Linked DNA regions of Saccharomyces cerevisiae S288C. The protein of the gene in region 1 interacts with the protein of each later gene in a biochemical or structural test. Each region holds a gene or a part of one and is shown on either strand. Other genes may lie near its edges.

Evidence for each region.
Region 2: the proteins of SEC21 (region 1) and MST27 form a complex in vitro, tested with the Saccharomyces cerevisiae proteins (one study listed by BioGRID).

The regions. Positions count from the first base shown.
Region 1 is NC_001146.8:88,639-96,326, reverse strand, and holds SEC21 (coatomer subunit gamma), read right to left. Parts: upstream 4,334-7,688; coding exon 1,526-4,333; downstream 1-1,525. Other genes in the region: U2 snRNP complex subunit CUS2, read right to left, coding at 247-1,104; CCR4-NOT core subunit CAF40, read right to left, coding at 4,903-6,024; PCL1 (Pcl1p), read right to left, coding at 7,591-7,688. UniProt on the Saccharomyces cerevisiae protein: The coatomer is a cytosolic protein complex that binds to dilysine motifs and reversibly associates with Golgi non-clathrin-coated vesicles, which further mediate biosynthetic protein transport from the ER, via the Golgi up to the trans Golgi network.
Region 2 is NC_001139.9:402,153-405,558, reverse strand, and holds MST27 (DUP240 family protein MST27), read right to left. Parts: upstream 1,873-3,406; coding exon 1,168-1,872; downstream 1-1,167. Other genes in the region: pheromone-regulated DUP240 family protein PRM8, read right to left, coding at 2,257-2,970. UniProt on the Saccharomyces cerevisiae protein: Involved in protein trafficking vesicle formation, probably by stabilizing of coatomer at the Golgi membrane and thus allowing the efficient formation of COPI coated vesicles.

The DNA of each region.
Region 1 (7,688 bases):
ACCATCCAACACATGGGCGGTTAGTGTAGTGGTTATCATCCCACCCTTCCAAGGTGGGGACACGGGTTCGATTCTCGTACCGCTCAAATTTTTTGATGGCATTGCTTGCATTTTCAAGTATTATATCGACATTTATTTTGTACTGGGAAGTCATAAAGCCCTAATCCATTCTGTTTATTACATTGTGTTCACTTATTTTACTTAAGTACCAAAGATATGGGGGTAATACATTTTTTTACTGCAGTTCTATATAAGGTCATCTTCCACTTCGCTGTCCTCATTCTTGTCACTTGTGCTTGAAGTGTTCTCATCTCCAGAAATGAAAGCAAGCAACTTTTGCCCATCAAAATAACGTCCGGTCATGATTTTGCAACATTGCAATGCAACTTTATTGTTCTTAAAGACGACCGTCGCTTCCCCCTTATTGGGAGATACAGATATACTGTCTACTTGACCTATCTCTTCACAGCCTTCCAAAAGATCTTCCTGAATATCATTTATATCATCATTTGTGTATGATTTGTAAATATTGAATACGTTGGCAAATATCACCGTTCGATCAGCTTTTGCTAGGCTTTCATCGTCATTGTAATCTATTACTTCCCCCTCCCCTTCAGACTTCGCTTTTTTTAGCCTCTTTATTGGAGGCTCAGGTCCGTTGAACTCCTTTAAATCATTTTCTTTCCCGTGCATATTGTCACCTTCCTTGTTTTGAAATTGGGCTCTTTCGACCCTGATCTGTTTTCCCAGGAAGATCGACTCGTTCATCATTTCGATTGCTAATGTAACACTTTCTTCCTTGGAATAAGTGATCAAGGCATCCCCTTTGAAAGCGCCTTTATCATTCACATATAGCTTGCAAAGGGGTTCCCCATCTCGATTGGTTCTTATCATTCCATACTTGCAAAACTGCTCAGTGAGTCCTTCTTTCGTTGTTTTGTCTGTGGGAAGACCAGAAATATATATTGAAGTATTTTTTGAGGCATTATTATATTCAAGCTCTCTTTTCTGAAGATTACTCTCTTTTAACTGTTTCCTTCTAAGCAATTCTTCTTTTTTCAATTTTTTCAAATGACCTTTCAATTCCAATTCATCAGCATCCATCGCTGTCAAACAGTAATGTTGGTAACGGAATACAGTGAAAAGTGTAGTGCGTTCAAGGGTCTGCAGCCTTTTACAATATGCCTGGTCAGACTAGTGCTTTTTTTTTGTTTTTTTTCTTCTTCTTCTTTCATCAATTGCATAATGTCAACTTTTTTCTGCCCTGTTGTCCTGTTTCTTCCATTTCGTTTTCTCTTGTCAAACTATTATAGTATTTTTCTTTAAAAATTTTGTTTATACAAAGATTACATAATTTATTCTTCGTGTGGTGATGATCCGTCATATTCTATCCGTGATTTTTTTGGTTTATTATTGTTCTTGCTGTTCATTCCCTTATTTGCATGCACGCTTGCTAAAGCTGACGCATTTCTTTTAATACTATTGATAACAAAAGAAGGGATTAACTGAAATAAAATTTCACAGCTTACTGCATTAGACCATTCACCAGATCAGAGCATAATAAGCTGTCTTCACCTTTACCATGAACTTTCAAAGCAAGACCTTTCGAACTCTTGATCATCTTAATCTGTAGGGCTACTTTAGATCCAGTTAAAGCACTCTTACCAAATAATTTCAAGGTGTGGGAGTTTGAATCACTTGGAGCAAATTGGGTACTTTCCACCGGTAAGCAGCTACTGTTCAAAATAATCTTATCTACTACTTCTTGTATGGATAAATCTTCTTGAATGTTGAAAACAGCAACTTCTTCGCATGGCAACTCATCAAATGTAGCGGAGAAGTTACCAGTGAAAGAACTCTTAACATAATCACCAGCATTCAAGAAAATCGAGTCAATTTCATATTCATCTTGGAAACCTTCATCACCATCAAATGGCTCATTAGTGTCAGGGTTTATTTCTTTTGTAGTGAATGTTAAGTTGTTCAAGAAACCTTCCATTACAATTTCATCAAGTTTTTTGAATGCAACGTAACAAGCTGCTTCCTCGGATGGTAATAATCTGTCCACTTGTAGGGTGAATAGCTCTTCTAATTCAGCTTCATCAGAAATTTCAGGGGTACAGACTACAGAAACATTGTCTAGGGCAATATCCGTCAGAGTATTCGTAATATTAAATTGTAAAACAACATTGTCTTTGAAGAGATGTTTGACACCACGTACAACGAATTCTGCTTCTGGCTCAGTTAATGAGATAGCCCTAGAACTATTTACTAATTGACCAAATGGTTTAATTTGTTCAATGGATAGCAATTCGTCAGCGTACTTAGTAGCTAGTAGATCTTCTTGGTGGTCGTCCAAGTTTGGACCAGCAAATGAATTAGCGTCAGCTCTTTTTTCTGGAACACTCTCTGCCTCTGGTGTAGTATCCAAAGTGGTTTCAGACTTTTGATTGAAAATTTGTTCTTGCTTTCTCTTCAGATTTATTGCCTTCATTTCATCCTCAGTAAACTTACGAACTTGATTCACATCAAATGCAGTTGCAAATGAATCAGTATTTGAGGAAATGTAAGAACTTAATTTTGACTCTAATGATGGAATATCGTAAAAATATTTGGATTCGATTAGATTTTGTGCTATAACATCATCTTTATTCCTAGCCGAATCAATGAATTCTAGTGCAATGGTGGCTCTGTCTCTGACTTCATCGTCTTTATCATTAGCGATTCTCTTTAACAAACTTATGATTGACTCATATAAGGTAGGATCGTTCTTCGTCAAAGCAAACTTAGATAAAGCTACAACGGCAGCAGATCTAATAATAGAATTTTCCAACACCACTCTGTTATAAATATGTCTAACATATAATGATGGATTTGGGGCAGATGGACCTTCTTTACCCAAAAGATGTAGTATTCTCACTAGTATTTCGTTGAATTCACAATCCTCGATGAAATCACACAAGTTTTCTAAGGCGAGTTCTTTAGACTGTGGAACAAATGAAACAATATCGATTAATGCTTCGACAATACTGTTTTTAAATTTGAATCCACCTTCACTATTTTTCAAAACATCGATTAAGAAGTTCAAAATTGACTTCCATTCCTGTGGGAAGTTCAAAGACAACGTACGAACGGCGTCAATAATAATGATCTTAAAGTCATCACTGACATCATGGATAAAATTAGTAATAGTCGAAATCAGAGATGAAATATTTTTGGAAGTTCCTGTCTTCAATAAAGTGGTGATTGCATAAGTAGAAATGTTTCTATTAGAATCATTAATTAAAGATTCTAGTTCAGGATTACAAACAACAATCTTTTCTGGTGAAACCATGGATATTCTATTTAAGATTCTCAATGCAGCGAATCTAGAAGAAACACGAGGAACGGTCAGTAAGGACTGTAAAGCACTGATAGCTGCCGCATATAACTCGGGAGCCACTAAGCGGGAATTGCGAGTAGCGAAAGAAGTAATCAATTTCGCCGTTTCCAACTGAACAGATTCGAACTTGTTGGATAGCCAATCAGACAAAAGTGGCCTGAATTGACTAAATAATTGAGGATCCCTATAAATCAAATCGTTGACAATCTTGACCAATTCTACCTTGGCCAATTGATTTTTCATAGAATTGTTTTCAGAGAAATGTCTAACCAATTTTAGTAACGCCATTTTATCAGTTTTCTTCAGTTGATAAAGCAACCCAAGAGCATGATATTGAGAAATATAAGTGGAGTTTGGATAATATTCGCTATTACCGTGTTGATTTGGAAATTGTTTCAAATCCAAAACAGCTTCTTGAGTTTCATTGGTGAATCTTCTGATAGTGACTTCTGAAATGGGCAGCAAATGATAAGAAGTACATAATGCTGCTGAGGATATTGAAGGATGTCTACTTACCACGGCACTTTTTAATAACCTTTCAGCGGAAAAAGCAGTAGATTCATCCAAGACATAAGTCAGCGATCTAATAGCGTCAGGCTTAATCAAATCGGAACCGTTTTGAACGTCCTTCATGATTGAAGAGGTTGCCATCAACACATCCTCCGAAATGCCACTCAATTCCTTGATTGCCAAATAAACAGCCTGCCTTAAAGGATCGTTCTGGTGTTGAAATAATTTGGAGATAGAGAAAAATAATGCAGTTGCTTCATTCTGTGGGAAGGTTTCGCCCTGGGCCAAGAGTCTCAGCAAGCGAGAAATCAATAAACGACATCTCTTGGAATTGACAGGTGATTCGTTAAACGTGTTCATACAATCCTGATAAATGGTCATTTTATCAGGTAAATCGCCCGAGGTCGAGTTTTCAAACTTTTTGTAAGTATGTGCAGACATGTTGATTCGCTCTGTGATTTAGTATCGCTTCTTGGCTTTTGTCCTATCCGTATTTGTTTAGTTATTTTGTATTATACGTCGTTCTGTAATGTTTGCGGGCTCACCTGGATGAAGCTAAGAACAAAAAAACGGGTTTAGCAGAATAACTGAAGAAGTACGTTGGTAATGAGCACACACAATTCCTCCCTTGCACTTATTTGTAAAGAATTGTGTTCTCAACAATGCAACTCGTATCCAAAAAAACGCCTATGTATATTTCATTGATCTTGACGAAACCTTTAGATTTCGAAAAAAATAGAATCGTGGTTCGTGGCGTCGTAGTGAATGACACAAGGGGTACATTCCGGGTGATAGGATGAAAAATGGGTAATAGTAATAGTACAGAAGAACCTTCTGGCACTTAACTTAAACCATTCTGAAATATGAGTGGACTTTATACATTTCATGCATATAAATATAACTATACAAAATTAGGAGAGGTGAGGAAGTGAAACTAAAACAAAAAGGCAAGGTTAAAACAATACAGGAAAATAGAAAGAGAAAAACAGTAATATATCTATGGGGATGCATCATGAGGTTTCTTCGTTTAATGTCAGTAGCAATTGTGCCAGACATCTCTTGGACCCGACGTCGTCTCTTAGTACTTCCGTAAAAGTGTTATCTCTCAGTTTGGCAGGTAAGACTATTTTCAATAGCCTGCGTGCTTCGAGATCGTCGCTTAATCTTAAGTAGCATCTAATGATATGTTTCAGTAGTCGTCCCGGTGGTGTGCTCACGGTCAAGTGCTCAACCATATCTTTTAAGACATTAGTTACGGCGTAGAACCTTTCCAAGGTGGCACAGATGTATTGCAATCCAACGTCATCTAGTAGGATTTTCTGTAAAATGAAAATGGCGACTGTCTTGGAAAGCTCAGAAGAAGATTCCATGATCCTTAGGCATAACGGCACGATATCGGTTCTTAGCAAAAACGTTATTACGTCTTGTGAGTCATTTTTGACCAATGCGCCTATCACACCTAATGAAGTCAATCTCAAGTACTCAAAAGTTCTTTGCCTGGAGGTAGTATTTAGGAAGGGGAAAAGAAAGAGAGGAATATGGGCCTGTAAAAAGAGATGTTTTGTCTCTGGGTGAGATGCAACACACTGTAGAAGAACTAGAGCGTTGCATACACGATTTGATAGATTGTTAGAGAGCATCTGAGGTTGCAGCATGGGATATACGGAAATGATTTCGTTCAGCAATGAGGTCATTACACCAAAGGAAGACCAAAGCACAACGGCAAGGTCATCAAACTGTTCTCTTTTGCGACCTAATTCAAGCAGTGCTTGTTCCTTTTGAGGGCCGTAGGTCAATTGACAAATCCAGTGGTATACATTGGGATCATCTAGAGCATGCACTGCGCCTCTATTATTGACCATGTTGGGATTGTTTCGAGTTGCGTTAGCATCGTTACCGCCGTTATTGCCGTTATTGCCGTTGTTCTCGCCATTTTCATTGCTATTATTATTATTCGGAGTATTGCCCATTAGCATGGGGCCTCCACTTGGAATTTGTTGATTCATGCCTGGACCCATTGAAGTTGGAACCCCAGGCATGGACATAGATCCTGGATTATTAGTTGAAGGACCACCACCACCCATGTTCACGCCTGCTCCATTGCCATATATTGGCTTTTGAGCGGAAAACATATTAACTTATTCAGAGGATGTTCAGTTGCTGTCGTTGTTGCTTCAGGAACAAAGTTTAATCTCGTCAAGATCAGCAGAAACACACACACTCGCAAATTTGTCAAAACTTGGGAGTTTTAAAAGATGAACGGTTTCTAACTTGCGTACTCTACGTCTTTGCAATCCCTTTACAATGTCTTCTATGCGTAAATTACTTTAAATTTGGATTTTGCCTCTTGCTGCTCGCAGCAAAATTCTCAGCATGTTGAGGTGTGTGGGTGGAGTTTTTCCTCTCCTGCTAGTAATACTTATGCAAGAATCTACGTCTAATGAGGTGCTCACGTTTTGCAATGATGATATAAATAGGGACAGTAATCTAATATAGACAAGTGGGCGTAATAGGGTTTTCTTCTCTCTCTTATGCATTCTGTAAGCATCTCGCTTTATGTGAGGAATAGTAGTAAAAGCGTATGATACAGGGAAATAGTAGTACTTTTACAATAGTATTGCTACTTGCATTCCCAAAAACATTCAATAAATGCACTTGGTTTCGAGCGTCTTTTGTTTATTTTTAAGTTTTGTTTGTTTTTTTTATTGTTTTGCTTCGTAGTTTCAATTTTAAACATTAATGTGTGCAAAAACTATAAGACAATGGTATACGCAAGAAAAACTATAAGTAGCATATTTAGTCTACTCCGAGCCATATCGGAAAGAACAATGTCGCGTCTTGCAAAGGCTGTTAATACATAGAATAGGCCACTCCAGGCATGTAAATACATGATTGATTGGATGAGCAACACTGAAATGGACCAGTGGCAACCTAACAGGATTTCTGATCTATTTCACGCCCAGAAAAAAGGCGTACATTCTATAATCTACTTAACAGACCTATACAAGCACTGTCCTACATATTTCAAAAGATTTAATTTACATATCGATTCCGTTCAACGTAAACAGTTTGCTCATAATACAGTCACAGATGTGAGAGAAAAAAAAAAAAGAAAATAAAGGAAAATGGATCAGAAATTTGGGTATACTTAATGCTTCATAGGACACCTGAGTACTTGTGGCATCCATGTTCAGACTGGTGCACAGCTTTTTTCTCGTCATTTACCATTTTTCCTTGAATTCATGTTTAATTTTCATCTTCGTCATGTGTTAAGGTACTATTACGAAACAAAATGTTAACGCCTTTGATAAACTTATCAAAGTTACGAGACCGGTTCGCACTACGATACTTTGCTATTGCTTCATTTTTTCTATCATATGTAAAACATAAACCACTGAGAGAAAACTTCTGCATTTAAATCAAATATGTCCGCCTTTTATACTTTAAGAAGAAAAAATTTATCTTTTTTCTTCCTCATATTGCAGGTATCACCCGAATGGAAGTTATAACGGCACAATCACTTAGGGCTTAACATACAATAACAAATACCATTTTTAATGTTGTGTTCAGTTGATTGTTATTATTATTAGGTATCCTTGATTATTTAAATTTATAATATATTATGTATCCGTTAATTATGCTCTATTAAAAATCTTTCTCCCACTAAGAGCCCCGTAAGGGCCATCTTGTTTACCACATTAAAACCCATGTTGACTCATGATCTGTTCCAGATCCCAACTTTGCCTGTTGACATTGTCGTTCCATTTCTCTACCGTCCTGACGTAATTCGTGTTAG
Region 2 (3,406 bases), on another chromosome or scaffold:
AGCTTATTCAAAAAAAGCACTCACGATGGGGGTCGAACCCATAATCTTCTGATTAGAAGTCAGACGCGTTGCCATTACGCCACGCGAGCTACTGTTTGTTGGAAGTGTTGAATCTCAAAATCAGAAGCGTCAGTATGACAATACTTCAACCGTTCATAAAACACATATGAAACAACCTTATAACAAAACGAACAACATGAGATAAAACCCGGCCTTCCCTAGCTGAACTACCCAAAAGTATAAATGCCTGAACAATTAGTTTAGATCCGAGATTCCGCGCTTCCACCACTTAGTATGATTCATATTTTATATAATATATAAGATAAGTAACTGAAGAGTGGGTGAATTTTGATGATAATATATTAGTAACGTAAATACTAGTTAGTAGATGATAGTTGATTTTTATTCCAACAATTATCAATCCTTGTATTTCAGCTTCCATTGAAAACGATGACTATTTCTCATCATTTGCCGTCATCTTCTAACACCGTATATGATTATATACTAGTAACGTAAACACTAGTTAGTAGATGATAGTTGATTTTTATTCCAACAGTTACGTAAACCGTTATCAAATAGATACGCTCAAATTCAATTCTGATTAATTTTCATTGGGGCTGATCGTTTCGCTGCAAGTTGTCATAGTATTATTTATTTATTAATACCTTAGATTTTCTTGACAATTAACCAATTTTTAATCATTAAACTTAATAATATTTAATGCTACTGTACTTTCTATTATTATTTATTATTAATTTATTTATTCGTTCATCTTGTATGTAATCGTCCTCCGTTCTTTTCCCTTTACCGCTGGCTTGCGCGCGATGATTTCCACTAAAAGCTTGCTTGGAAATCTCGATCACCGACATACGCCCTGAGAATGCTTATAGGAGCTATCGAGGCGAAAGAAGTGGGGGGAAAGTAATATCCCGAGAACGAAAACGCAAGGCTTATTGTCATGAAAATGCAAATGCACCGTTGACAAAACCAACCACACGATTATCACGACTACTACCATAATAGGTAGGCAATGAACACTTCGTTCAGCAAATGGGTCCAACACGAATCGACTTTTCGAGGCTTCTTCGGCCGTTTTCGGGCCAGTTAGTGCTGATTATATATCATACTCTAGTTTATGTTCGCTTTACGTATGGCAGTGTCTCTAAGCTATTCCGTCTTTTTAAGAAGCGCATCGATATTGGGATGCCGCCTTCGCCAGTAATTTTCCTGAGCTTGTCGTTCGATCTCCGCTGCCTTGAGCAAAAAGTTTCGATAATTCAGTCTGGAACTAGGAGAAGCTGACTCGATGGCATCTTCAGGCTTAGCGGTGACCGGAGAATTGCCAATTGACGTGGCTGTTTGCTTCTTGGGGGTTACTCCCTCAACAAGGCGTAGAAAATAACGGTAGCAATCCTCATCGCTGTAAAAGTAATACGGAGTATGCCATTGCCCATGATTAAACAAATATTGGTTCATGTTGTATGTGATGATCCTCCATTCTTTCCCTTCTACTGCCGGTTTACGTGTGATGACATCCACTAAAAGCTCGGTCCTAAAATTTCGACGACTGACTAGCTTTGGATTACCATCACCTAATATTATTAACAATACTACAAGAGAAAGATAAGCGTAGTATGCAGAATTGAAAACACAAGCTTCGTTGTCATTAAAAAATATAATTAATAAAACCAAAACCCCTATTACCAGGGACAAAATCATGACTGGTGTATAGCGAGCGATTTCATAGATCCAATAACTCAAGTACGAACGGAATATGTCCTTAGGAAGAGCCACATTTTTCTCAATTAAATGTGCACTAGGTTCGTTGAGTGTATCTAACTTGACGTCGGTACTTTCTAGAGGGGTCTGCATGACCAATATATACCTTGTATCGTCTATGACTATAGTATTCCTGATTGTCTCTGTGCCATTGCATACTGATCAAATGTTTTAATAACGCAGGACCCTTTTCACGATTGTTTTTCATCTCTAGAGGCATTTTCAATATTGCATTTTGCGAAGTGATGTATAATGAAAATGTGGTAATAAGGCAGTGAGCTACTTTGTCACAACAAAGTACGAGAACAGATGAGGTTCCGTGGTGTTTTTGGGGCAACTGCATTATTTGGAGCGCCGTATATATTTATATCCTATTACAAAAAATCATAAATGACACTAAATTTGACACCTACTAGTGTCGTCAATCGAGAAGTAGATCCTTTGTCAAGTTGTGTGCTAGTGTCTCCCGTCTTCTGTCTAAAAAAACTCATCGACACCAGGATACTCTTGTCGCCAATATTCCTTTTGAAATTGTTGTTCGATTTCGGCTGCCTTGGTGAGGAGCTTTATAAAGTTCGGTCCGGCACTAAAACTAGAAGACTCAGCGGCTTCGTTTGGTGTGCCAGCGGTTTCGTCATTTGATTGTGCGTCTTTAACATTGCTGGCTGACGATTCCTTTTGCTTCTTGAAAGTTCTTCCCTTAATAAGACTTAGAAAATAACGGTGGCAATCTTCATCACGGTAAAAGTAGTAGGGAGTGTTCCATAAATCGTTATCAAATAAATACTGGTTCATCTTGTATGTAATTGTCCTCCATTCTTTCCCCTTTACCGTAGGTTTCCGTGTGATAATTTCCATCAGTAGCTTACATTTGAAATCTTCATCACTGATCTGTGGTCCAAACCTGAGTATTAGAACTATCACTAAAATGCCAGAGAATATGAGGAGAAACCCTACAGAAACCCCAACGCAATTTTCGTTATCATGAAAAAGAATAATTATTGAGATTAAAACCCCAATTACTAGAGACAAAAGCATGACCGGTGTACAGTGAGCTGCTTCATATATCCAATAACTCAAGTACGAATGGAATATGTCCTTAGGAAGAGCCACATTTTCCTCGATTAAATATGCACCGGGTTCGTCGAGAGAATCCGACTTGGCGTTGGTATTTTCTGAAGGGGTTTGCATGTTGAATTGATATCTTGTCTTGTGTAAGGTTATTATATGGTTTTGGAGGTTGTTATGCTGATTCGAATTACGACTTGATCTTGATACTAATTGAGCTTTGACGAAATATTTTAGCAATTCAGAACCCCTTTCATATTCTTTTTCTTCTTTTCATTTTTAGAGGCGTTATTTCACTAATAGGTACAGCCTCCGAAATAATACGTAATTGAAGATATGATAATAACAGTACGAGCCTTTTACAGGGCCATTATGATCATGAGTGAGATCCAGAAAAGCACATTGCATGGCAGTCGGATGTTGAGAATTGGGGGAATTTTGAGATAATTGTTGGGATTCCATTGTTGATAAAGGCTATAATATTAGGTATACCTAATATACTAGAAGTTCTCCTCGAGGATATAGGAATCCTCAAAATGGAATCTATATTTCTACATAC